Linked DNA regions of Daphnia pulex. Each later gene encodes a partner of the first gene's protein in a complex. Links are inferred from orthologs where the notes say so. Each region holds a gene or a part of one and is shown on either strand. Other genes may lie near its edges.

What was found. Proteins that work in one complex are often made in the same cells at the same time.
Region 2: mediator of RNA polymerase II transcription subunit 4-like (region 1) and mediator of RNA polymerase II transcription subunit 7-like share a complex: the UniProt entries of both Drosophila melanogaster proteins name them as parts of the mediator complex. The link is inferred for Daphnia pulex from reciprocal best matches to the Drosophila melanogaster genes MED4 and MED7.

The regions. Positions count from the first base shown.
Region 1 is NC_060026.1:12,374,394-12,381,735, forward strand, and holds mediator of RNA polymerase II transcription subunit 4-like, read right to left. Parts: upstream 4,313-7,342; 5' UTR 4,189-4,312; coding exon 4,121-4,188; intron 3,828-4,120; coding exon 3,713-3,827; intron 3,657-3,712; coding exon 3,537-3,656; intron 3,478-3,536; coding exon 3,306-3,477; intron 3,245-3,305; coding exon 2,943-3,244; 3' UTR 2,797-2,942; downstream 1-2,796. Other genes in the region: gastrula zinc finger protein XlCGF7.1-like, read left to right, coding at 1-82, 157-918; beta carbonic anhydrase 1-like, read left to right, coding at 1,517-1,609, 1,674-1,758, 1,824-1,963, 2,028-2,267, 2,326-2,411, 2,473-2,596; transcription initiation factor TFIID subunit 13-like, read left to right, coding at 5,495-5,590, 5,745-5,915, 6,138-6,314; cytochrome b5 reductase 4-like, read right to left, coding at 6,319-6,373, 6,450-6,620, 6,686-6,775, 6,852-6,906, 7,058-7,309. UniProt on the Drosophila melanogaster protein: Component of the Mediator complex, a coactivator involved in the regulated transcription of nearly all RNA polymerase II-dependent genes.
Region 2 is NC_060019.1:10,645,255-10,650,458, forward strand, and holds mediator of RNA polymerase II transcription subunit 7-like, read left to right. Parts: upstream 1-3,723; 5' UTR 3,724-3,859; coding exon 3,860-4,045; intron 4,046-4,102; coding exon 4,103-4,573; 3' UTR 4,574-4,642; downstream 4,643-5,204. Other genes in the region: tyrosine-protein kinase Btk29A-like, read right to left, coding at 2,374-2,727, 2,841-3,108, 3,198-3,359. UniProt on the Drosophila melanogaster protein: Component of the Mediator complex, a coactivator involved in the regulated transcription of nearly all RNA polymerase II-dependent genes.

The DNA.
Region 1 (7,342 bases):
TACTGATAGATTCCGTGCATCACAGAAGGCCATATTTGAATTAATGAAAGAATTTACAGTGTTATTAAAAAACGATGAAAACGTGAGTTTATAACAAGTCTTAAAATTGGAATTGATTATCAATTTTACTTATTATTTACTTTTATATAATTAAAGACGAAAAAGCAATTCAGCAAAGGCAACGTTGAATTATGTTTTACGCTAGAAAAGGACACTAAACTGGATAATCAACCTTTAGCACCGAAACTATCCAATAAAGAAAAGAACTGTTCAACCTGCGGAAAGTCATTCTCGCGCCCTCAAGATCTCAAACGTCACTTGCGGACACATAATAAGACTTCCGCTTATTTATGCGAAGAATGTGGTAAGAGTTACCGAAGTCTTGATGGACTGAGTTACCATAAGGCCTTGAATCACCGTGAGAGTAACGATTCATCAGAGTCTTTATTGAAGTGTTCAAAATGCAACAAATCCTTTACTAACCAGATCCAGTTGAACGTTCATTTGAAAAACAGTCATCATAGAGCAAAGTCAGTATATACCTGTGAAATTTGTATTCCAACAGCAACTTTCGAACGCAAAGATGTATTTAAAAATCACGTAGTATTGCACGAACGAGTCAAACCTTTCGCATGCCGAATTTGTGATAAAAATTTCTCCAGTCGCTCAAACCTACAATCCCACGCGCGAACTCATGATGCTTCAGTTGCTCTCCAGTGTCCAAATTGCTCGAAGAAATTTAGTTCAAAGAAAAAGTTGGATTCACATATTCCTGAATGTATTGCGCGGAAATCTTGTCCTTCTTGCAAATTTGTTTGTCAAAGCGAAGAAGAGATGACTGAACACACAAAGAAAGAGCATCCAGCAGATTATGCAATACATGAAGTCTTTGGTCACGCCCTCGAAGAATTGAGCTAACCGCATCTCAAATGCTCAATTTTATGTTCAATAAATTAAATTATTGAAATTCTGTCGTGAAAATACAAAAGCAAACAAAACGTCACGTAGCCTGAACATGTTTGTTTTTTTAATTCAATAATTGATAAGGATACCGCTTACGGCTATTCCGTGTTCATACATACAAATAAAGATTCAAAACAAAACAAAAAAACGGCTTTTGTATGATATGACTGCCATCTATTATCAAATTCCTAAAAATAAGAATTCAATTAACGCAATATTAAATAATGAATAAAGGTGCCGCCGCAATTTACGCAATGAAATTTCACCGAAATAATAATTTTAAAAAACGAATCGCTGTGTTGCTGGCAGTACCGCGCAACCGATCTATTTTGATTTTGGCATGAAACATCAATCCTCAGCCGACGATAAAAACGTCTGCTTGCAGTCACATGGCAACGGAGTTACTTGTCTCTCTGGTTGTATCTAGTTGTTGAACTAACGTAAACACTCATCATAACAGGACCATTGGACCATCAAGAAATACACTCTTGCACCTTATTTATCGTCGCCCCAATCCCTTCGGTCGACATTCCAACGTGGACATAAAAAAAAAATGGACAAAATATTGAAAGGTATCCTTAAATACAGAAAAACGTATCGAACTGAAATGGTGGAACAGTTTAAACAAGTTGCTGATCGACCTGAGGTAAAAAGTTTTTTTTTCATTAGTTTTTTTTCATTCAAAACATAAAATAATCGTATATTTCTAGCCAAAAGCAGTGTTTTTTACCTGTATGGACAGCAGAATGCTTCCAACTCGATTTACACAAACAGATGTTGGTGATATGTTCATAGGTATGTTAAAACACAAGTATATATACTGCTTGCTTTTTTATATTCCTGGACATTGTAAATATAAGTTAGAAATGCTGGTAATCTGGTTCCTCACTCGAAGCTGTATGGAATTGATTCAGCTACCACTGAACCAGCAGCCCTGGAGCTGGGGTGCATTGTAAATAATGTGAAGCACATGGTTGTTTGTGGACACTCAGATTGCAAGGTCAGTCAACCATAAACTTGTTAAATGATAACATAAACATAATGACACACAACTTTTGTTTCAGGCTATGAACCTATTGTATAGTTTTAAAAAAGGAATTGAAACCAACATGAGAACTCTCGAGAGATCTCCACTTAAAGCTTGGCTTCATCGCCATGGTAGTATTTCTCTAACTAAATTTGAGAGGTTAGAAGTGCATGGTTTCCAACAGCCCTTGACTTTCCCAATGGAGGGACCATTCAGACAATTTGTTGCCTACATAGACCCTGACAATAAATTTAGTCTAACAGATAAGCTCTCACAGGTAGAATTATGCCAAGTTATGTAATGTCTACAAATCTAATTGGGTTATCTTTTTTCAGCTCAACACATTGCAACAACTACAGCATATTGCCAGTTATAGCTTCATTCAAAGTGCCATAAATTCGGGGCGAGTACACCTTCACGCGTATGTATCATGTATCAAACGTTTACTCGTAAGTGTTTAATGTTGAAATTTATGATACTAGGTTATGGTTCGACATCTATACCGGAGACATCTACGTCTTTAGCCGCAAGCAAAAACGGTTTGTGGAGATAAGCGAAGAGACATCCGATTATTTGCTCGATGAAATACGCGAATACTTTGTGTGACCTTAACCGACGTGCCTCGGGTTATTATGCTGAAGAATATATGGAAATCTAGGTATTTTTATAGAGATGACGCACATCTCCTGAATTTATATGGGGAGTTCGATTCTAAAGCTATTTTGTAAATAGTGAGAAGTTAACTATAAAATAAATTGTTGCATAACTTTATAATGGAAAAGAATTTGAACAATTCGAAAAAGGAATTGCACAAATATTTATCTATTTTACGAACCTTTGAATGAGGAAGGTTTTCAAAAAGAAATGCGAAAGTAGAATAGTATACAGGATGGTTACCAACAATATTAAGCAATCGCGCAGGATACAGAGTGTAAATTGTTAGCTCACGTGTTTACTGAGAATCGGAAGATGAACTGCTACTCGAGTCCGTAGACATAACGTCGACATCTTCATTCTCTTTCTTGGGATTTTTGTGATCCATTCCACCACTCACACCCAAGTGTGAAACTGACAAACAGGGCATTTGCAGGTCATTTTGAGATAACCAACTATAAGTGCCTGCTTGAGAATTCGGAACTGAAGACCCCTGCTGCAAAGAATGATTAGGACGATGCAAAAGTTCTGGAAAACTCATGTGTCCATTGACATTCATTTCACCAAGACGGCCCAAAAATCCTAGCCGCATTTCAATATCTGAAAACCACCACAAAACAACATGAAACTACTGGACAGCAATTTAAAAAAAAATTTCTACCCGTGGGATATGGTCTGCGTAAATCTCCTTGCTGCCAATTCAAAGGAGCACAAACAGCGTTGGAAGCCGATATTCTGTGAGCAAATTTTATCAACTCTTCGGAATTTACAGGTCTGTTATTCGCCCGTGTGATTGATTGCAACTTTTGCTTAGCTTGAAAGATTGCAGTAGCCTGAAAAAGAGTAAGTTTATGAAATACTAAAACCAACAAAATAATTAAAAATAGCTTACTAATAGCTGCTCTGCCTCCTTAAGCTGCTTTTGAAGATTTCGAATCTCAACATCATGCCTTTCAACTTCTGTCTCTAAGGCAACTACTTTTTGTTGTAATACACCTTGTTCTTCAGCCAACTTAATAAAAGAAAGAATTAGCATTGAAAAAAATTATGAAAAACAAATAATTTTACCTTAAGTGTTGCCTTAAGATCAGTGTCTTTTTGAAGAACCAATTCAACAAGTTGAGAGTGTTCAGTACTCATAGGTTTCTGCTGCTTCTGGGCTATTAAGTTGTCCAAAAGTTCCCTAATAAATTAAAAAGATTAAGTTTAGTACAGTGACAATTATATTTTGGAAGATTAAAATTCAATAATCAAATTCAAAACAGTGTATGATACAAACGAGTGTGACAAAGTGTTCTGAATTTCAGGTAAACAATGGTATGATTACCTAATAAGATAAATAAATATATCATGCTAATGAACAATAGATAGATCTGAGGCTTTAACTTTCATTAAAAAAATTTTGAAGGAAGAACAATTGCACTACGTGATCAAAATAGTCGACGAACAAAGGCAGCCAAATCAAGAAAAACTTACTTTGCGATGATTTCGATATCGTCGATGCAAGTAAGCAATACTTCTCTGGTACTTTTTTGAGAAGTCATGTCTAGTTATTTTTATTCCTTTTTATAGAAATAGTTATAAAAACAGGTAAGTGAAACTTTCCAATCAAAATTAGTTTTTCTTGAATGCGGCTCGGCTACGGCTGCAACAACAACTAGAGAAGTGAGGTTGCCATATCTAGATTTAACCTGACCACGTATTTTTTTAAATTTCCTTATCCTTTATTTATGGATTCATTCGGAGTCGAATCACCGCTCTACAACGTGATTTCGTTAAAAGAAACTAAAAAATATAATAGTAATGAGATATGTTTGAAGTGTATAATAATGCAACACTGGCGACGATTTATGAATCGAATTTCGTAAACATAAACAGACAGCAGGAATCCGCTGTTCCGCTCTTGATCGTCTGACCCGCCCAAAGTTTTCCGAGCAATTTCTCAAAAACAAACTCCGGAAAGAGTGAAAAGACATTCATTTGTTTGCTTGGGTGAGTATATAGTCCAGCAATTCGACTTTAGAATCTCCAGTTATGAGGACTTTAAAACACATTTTGTGTTACAGATTCTTGGTTCAGTTCCTGTCTACAAGAATGTCGAATGACAAGTCTGTCAAAGTTAAGGTTGGAGAAGAAGAACGAGTATCGCAAAGTTTATGCGGTTGTTCGGTCGGAAAATTTTGGAAATGGAAGTACAGTGTCCATAAACAATGAGCAGAAAAAACAACTAGGTATAGAAGGAGACTATCATGCCGGGCATATCATTGCCAAAATGCTTGGAGGATCGGGATCGGACGTAAATAATCTCGTCCCCATGCACAAAAATTTCAACAACAGTGCCTACAAATCTTTCGAATTTGAAGTCCGCAAGATGATTGAGGATTCTGAAAAATTTTACCCCGGAAAACAAGTAGAAGCTCGTATCACTGTTTCCTTATTTTACAATCAAGGTTCCAATAAACCATATCGAATCAAGTATGATGTTGCCATGTACGCTAACGGCGTAGAAAAGCCGAGTTACGTTGGAGATTTCAAACTGAATGAAAATGGACGACACTAATTTAAATCGAGGAAATTTTTGCTTTGACGCTTTTTGCAGAGCTATAACTCTGGCTTTTTGTAACCAATAAACATTTTTCAATGTTGAATGCGTAATCAGGCGCCGCGCAATGTATTTTTTTTACAAGAAAGCAGATTTTAGTACGTACAAGAGTGCTTTTACAGCCATCTGGCAACCGTTTTCGTTACTAACCTACCTAGTGTCTTCTGCAGTGGTTGATTTGTTGACGTTTATTGCTCGAAAATTCTCCAACCCACTAACATTTACTCGTTTAGTAATCAAATTTCAAAATGTCTTCTCCCTCGGTGAATACTTCATTGACTTCGTCCCCACAGAAAGAAAGAGACAGCAAAGAAAGAGAAAATCCAGATGAAAACTATGATCAGGTAATTTTCTTCTTTTAAGTTACATTAAATCTTAAGTAATTTCCAGCTGAAAGTTTTGCTGGTACATATAACATATTGCTGGTGGAAATTTTTGTATTTAAATTTGTTTTAATGCTTTACTGTTCATTTAATTTCTAAATGTTTCAATTTCTAGTTTGATGATGATGAACCTGATTTGCATTATGGATCCACTTCATCAGGCAGAAAGCGCCTCTTCAGCAAGGAACTTCGTTGCATGATGTTTGGATTTGGTGATGATCAAAATCCCTATACAGAAAGTGTTGATCTGCTGGAAGACCTTGTTATTGAATACATCACTGAAACGGTAGGACTAATACCTTAAAATTTTTTTCAAACTGTGACATCTGATTTGCTATCTTTGAATTTTATTTATCAAGTTAGAATGCAAAAATGTTTATTTTTGAAATCAAATGCAAATGTTTCATCGTGTTATGGCAATTCACAAAGAGTCGGCAACCTGATTAGAATTCTATAACATGGCAAATGACTTTATTGACATTAACTATTTGCATTATTACTACTTCAGACGCACAAGGCCATGGAAACTGGACGGACAGGCCGAGTTCAAGTTGAAGACATGGTGTTTTTAGTTCGCAAGGACACGCGTAAATTTGCCCGCGTCAAAGACCTTCTAACCATGAACGAGGAGCTGAAGAAAGCTCGTAAAGCTTTCGATGAAGTCAAATATGCAGGCGTTTCCTAATTTTCTATCCCGAAAACGCGTGAACGGCCTCATTTATGTATCCTGCAGCATCCAGCAACCTTTTTTAACAATAAATAAACTTTCGTCATTTTTTTCAATCCAAAATTTCGTGTGAATTTTCAAAGAATGTATCACCTGAGTGTTTCCAAAGTAAAGTCTGACGGTCCGCAAACACACGCAAAATTGGAACCGTCGTCAGGACAATCCCTACCTAAAATAGTTGTGGCTAGTATAGAATTGTTGATTCGGCCTCGAAGACCTAACCATTCTTCATCCGGCTCAGACAATACGTGCCATACTTTAAACCTGTTGAAAAATTGATATAGATGTTTCATTAATGTGAGGTTAGAATGAAATTTCGGTTTTTCTACTTCTCAGGATATTTAAGTTCTAATTCCCGAAACTCTTCTTTCCAGATTATGTCTTCTTGAGTTCGGTTGAAGAACAGTAACATAACACGCCTAAATTAATCAAAATTGGTATTCAAATGAGCTTAGTTCATAAGAGATTAATCGACAAAAACATCAAAAGGGGTACCTATTATTGCGTAAGGTATCGATTGTTATTCTGACTAATGGCGTGATCCCCGTACCTGGAATTTTAATTTATTAAAAAAAGAATGTAATTTACTTAAGATGTTTGCTATTGGTTAATATATCACGGGAGGGCAAATATGAATAAACAGAACAATGTCAACAAAGACAAGGCAACAATGGGGGTCGTCCAACAATGCTAATACGTACCAGCGGCGATAGCTACCACATTCTTGCTCTCTAATTGCGATTCTAGGAAGTTTCCAGTTGGATCACTCACTTCAATCGAGCTGTTACCCTCAGCCAATCGATCCAATGCCGAAGTAAATGGTCCAGCAGGGTAGATTTTGATTAGAAACTGAAGCGAACTAGACGCTTCAGTTTTAGATGGGCAGTCTGTTGTCTTGCACGAAGAAAGATCAGAAACAACAGGAGTGTAGCTACGGATTAATTCACTTCCATCTAATGATTAGAAACGTGAAAATAAAAAATAAA
Region 2 (5,204 bases), on another chromosome or scaffold:
TGGCGGTTTAAAGGAAAATAAATAACATAGATGGAGAACAACGATAGCGAACAAGAGACGATGGGGGGTGTCTTATGGTTTGAAAGGTAATTTTCATCGTAGAGCTGAATTATCATCGAACTTGGGAGAAGGGAAGCTGGGGAGAGGGGGGTTCTTTTTGTTCCTCTTCTTCTTTTCAAAGGCTTATTTGGCGGATGTACTGACACACACACACACATACACAGCCGTATAATAACCTTCCGTCCTTGGCATACAAAATAGGCCTGTCGTCTATATGTAGTCTTCGACCTAAGAGTTTCAAGGGCTTGGAGATGGATACAAAACACAACTAAAAATAAAATAAAAAAATGGGATAGAAGAGAGAAAAAGAGGGGAGAGAGAGAGAAAAAAGGATAGAATGGGAGAAACGAGTGTGGGAGAAATCGTTGCTGCGTCTTCTATTCAACCACAGGCGAACAATGGATATAAGGAAGGCTTTTCCTAGCAGACTCGATACCGGTATGAGAAATTGAGGAGGGAACTTTCTCCCCTTCTCTTTAACGCGCTCCTTTGAATTGTACGCGTGTCAGAAACTCGTAAACAAGGACGGGTTTTTACTTTTCTAATAGTTATTCTAATAGTCCCAAAAAAGAAAAGGAAAAACTTGCAACGTCCAGTCTGGACCATTTCTGGCTGACGAAAGAGGAGGTGAGGTCAGCCGAGCTCCCGTCGATTTGAATCTAATCAACATCCAACTCACTTTACACACACACGGCACTAGAATACGCTCGAGGGAATTGAAACACGCAACCACACAAGACTGTCGACAAGTTTCTATCGCTACTACTACTTTCAAACGTTGAAACCAAGAAAACAGGAATTAACGGACAACAGATAAGTTGTGGTATAATCTCACATACTGGATTTTCTGCAAGGGGACTAGGGAAATCCCGAAGAAAACAATAAATCACAAATGTAAATATTTTCCATACAACACAACCGCATAAGAAATGATTGCCCTCGCAAGCATTCAAATACAACAGATTAAAATTAGAAATTGAATTCCAGAAATTTGTCGGAAGGCAAGCCAAACCCAAGTGCACATAAAGACCCACCGCGATGGTTTACGATTGTAACTTAACGCATTGAACACCTGTTGAGTCATTCAACAGGTGACTTTCAGGTGGGAGTCAACGTGAATAGCCTGTGCGATTTTCGATTGCTCAAGGGTAGTAACATGAGAAGAAAACCGATGAGAGAAAAAAACAACACAACACGGTGAAGCCGAACCATACCTAGAGTCAATTTACTTTCGGTGATCTTATAAGAGAGAGAATCCGAAGACATTGTGGACCAAATAGGCCAGCGGCAACCAAAAATGCGCATAATTTGCCCGTTAAAACCTCTGAAACATCAGCCATGTACGTAAAACTTACATACACGCATTGAAACTAGAGAAACAAAATAGGTAGGGGCGAGCTGACTGCAAAACTTGCACTACAACAAAATAGATTTGAACAATGGACCAAGGCAGCAGGTGGAAGCTTATCAATAATTCTCACGTTATTTTTTATCTCGTAAACACAAGCGCAACACTAATCGAACTGACAGGTAACTATTTCAGTATCTGAATGAAACAAACGTAGGCTGTTTTTCTGAGAGATATGAGAGACTGTGCTGTGCTGGCTTCATCATCTCTCCCACACTTTCGCGTAGGAATAGTCCAGTTTGTCGTTTGCTTTCGCTCTCACACGGGACTTGATGAGATGTGCAGTCCTCTTCTCGTCATTAGAGAAAAAGAAACGTGATTTATGAGAGACGCGGTCAGTGCCCACTGAGTACAGGGAGAGGGCTAGAACTAAAAACCGCCGAAAGGAATAAAAAAATCTCGGGGAAAAACAAGCTTGTGTGCATTCTCTAGGTCTTCTTCTCTCCGACCGACCGCAAATCCCCAACATTTTTCAATAGAGAAAATTTTCATGAATATTGCCAGTACCAATCTCACACAAGTTTTCTTTCTCTAAACCACTGCAGCGCCACACGCAACACTCACTTCTCTAGTTTTCTAATAATTAGTTGATCTTTTCAGCTATCCGATAATTTAGCTTCGCAAGTGAAGTGGATGTAATAACTTTATCCATTTAGTTTTTTTTACAAGGAAAACAAATTGAATCTATTCCAACGACGCAGTTTCTTAGAATGTGCTTCTATTGGCTTAAATCCCCCTCCCTCCCAAAGTCCTTGACTAAGGATTTGATGCGAAATAACTCAACATTAACTGTTGTTCATGTACTTAGAAGTCGTACAACTACTGTTTCCTAGAAGTATTGCAGGCAACGAACGGGTGTAAATCATTAGTTAGCACTTAGTAGGATACATAAGCGGGTATAGTACCTAACGCAACAACGGCGTTGTGAGAAGTGGAAGGGGATGCAGGAACAACATCCCCGACGATTGCCGGATGAATTTCCGTCGTGGGTTTAATCGCCGTTGGTTTGACCATGGCCGCCTCGACTTCAGCCCCATTCGCAGGTTTAGCGACAGGACTTGGTGAGGGAGACGGATGGTGGATGATGTTACTGAAATTGATGCCCATGTGTTGAAGTGTATTGGGAGCCCAAGTTACAGAACGGCAACCGTTTATTGCCTTAGACGTGGACCTTTGGGTTGATCCACAGCAAAGATAACTTCTATTCCCCCACAGGGCAGGGTGATACACATTCACAAGAGGAGCACTGTCTTTGACCACTATCAGGAGAAAAATAAAATAAATTATTAGATGAGATAAAATGAACATGTGAGATAAATACTGCTATTTGTCACACATAACTACTTGAGACGTCAAAAGAGAATGTTCTCACCAACTCGGATATTCCAAAGCCAGATATCTCTTTCTTGCTGAGTGGGAGTGAAAATGCAAAGAGTCAAGTCTGTTGCACTACAACCTTCATTACACTCATAAGGATTGTACACTATCTGAAAAGCAGGAGATCCCTTCAAATCACTCGGAATGGAACCTGTAAGGTTTGCCAATGGACCGATGGCAGGTGTGTCAGGTGCTGGATCAACAGCTTCCACAACTTTCACTGTTTGGAGGTCGACACGTCCCTTTTCTTTTCCTTTGCGATTCTGTTGTTTGGAATTGATGGTTGTGATGAATTAGTGATGAAGGGATTCACGAACACAGTCCATGCGTGTTTAGTAGAACTAAACCTTACCTCGCATTCGCCCTCGTAGTAGGCGAGGAACTTTGTGGTAAGGACGAACCATCGACTCTTGTAGTTGATCAAACTAAACCTCTTCTTGTTCTGTGATCGTTTCACTAAATTGCCTTGCTTTTTTACCTCACCTGCAAGAGGTTTGGCAGAGCTTTTAAACATACTTACAAAACGATCACTAATCAAAAAAGTAGTCCCCACTTGATAAAGCTGTTATAACTTCGTTCATTGTCTTTCTCCCTGGACCCTGGTACGAAGAGAATGAAAGCAGGACGAAGAAAAAGCTCTCCAAACCTCTCTAAATACTGGCAACTCGGACAGATCTAGCGGCAGTTGCCGACAACTATTATCGGATTTAATTTCCTCCGAAAATTAGCGATAAAATCGAGGAAATATACATTTAAAATAAAAAAATAAACAACGATTAATTGATTTAATGACAATTTAATGTAAAATTGAATTCTTTTACAACATTCTAAATCAAATTTGTTTCCATTCAAGAATGGCGTGTCGGGACAGCCACAAAAAGGAGAACATTGATCAAAAAATAGTCTGCTGAAATCCCCAAGCAAACGAACTAGAAAACGTCACATTCTTCATTCTTGAAAACAAACTATATTGTTTACATTACTATATTGCTTCATTCCAGTGGGAAAGTAAAAATGTCAGAAACGGCTCAAGTTAGTTCATTACCTTTGCCACCGATGCAATATGTCAGTCTTTTTAATGAAGAAAACGCTAAAAGAGGAAGAACACCGAGACCACCTCCTCCGATCACAGACAATTATTCCATGTTTGGTAATCCATATAATACTGATGATGCTGTGATCCGACCTCTTGAAAGCCAGGTGATAGAAGTTTTTTCTTAATCAAAGCTTTCTTTAATACTCGTTTTACTATTCCAGAATATACGACGTCTGTACCCTAATAACTATGACCACAGAAGAGAACTGAAAAAGCTCAATCACTCCATCACTGCTAGTTTCCTTGACTTGGTTGATATCTGCATACGAAATCCAGAGTCTGAAGCAAGAGCCACAAAAATTGATGACCTCACTTTGCTTTTCATTCACATGCATCATCTGGTCAATGAATTTCGGCCTCATCAAGCAAGGGAAACTCTTAGAGTTATGCTAGAACAACAAAAACGACAAAGATTGGAAATTGCAGAGCGTTTCAGAAGACATTTTGACAAAGCTTGGGAATTGGTTCAGCAGGCTGTCAACACAATTCCTGAACCAACTGAAGGCAACATCAAGCTCCTTATAGATGTTGAACGGGTTCAACCTTCAGAAGGCAATGCAAGCAACCAAACTTCTGGGAATGGGTGTACTGAGGAGGATCGTGTTCTGTGTCAAATGATTGATTCTTTGTGAATTCTGTGTTATTTTATGTTTATTCAAAGTGGAAAATACATTCGATCTACTCGCCTTTCTGATGTAAAATAGTCTGCTGTTTTATTTTTAATCGTTTTGGGACAAACATAATCTCGGTGATTTATTTTTTTTTAAGAATTTTTATTTTAAAATAATTATTGCAATAGATTTTTCTATTTGTATTTTAGTTGATAAATGTTGATGATCCACCTAAATTAAACATCTAGATCAAATTGCAACGTTGTTTATTCGTTTTAGTCCGTCTGCAGTCGCTGTAACATATTTTTCCTTCAAATTTTTCCTCTTGAAAGTTGATTCGAAACAACAATACCGTTGAAGTTAATTCTCTGCTTTTGGTAAGTGCATTGCTGTTAATTTAACTGTATATTGAACCGGTCTATCGATAGTTATTAGTTTTATCATTTCGCCTTGCAGGTAACATTCAATTGTTATAGCCAAAGCAAGTTTTTACACGTGATCATCTTTCGTTAGTAGAGTAAATTTTAAAATGACTGAAAGAAAAGTCAGCCCAGTTCCCGTCTATAACAATATCCTAATGGAACAATTTTTTGATGAGATCCATCCCAAACGAAGTCCTGTCATACTCAGAGGATTAGACATTGGAAGTTGT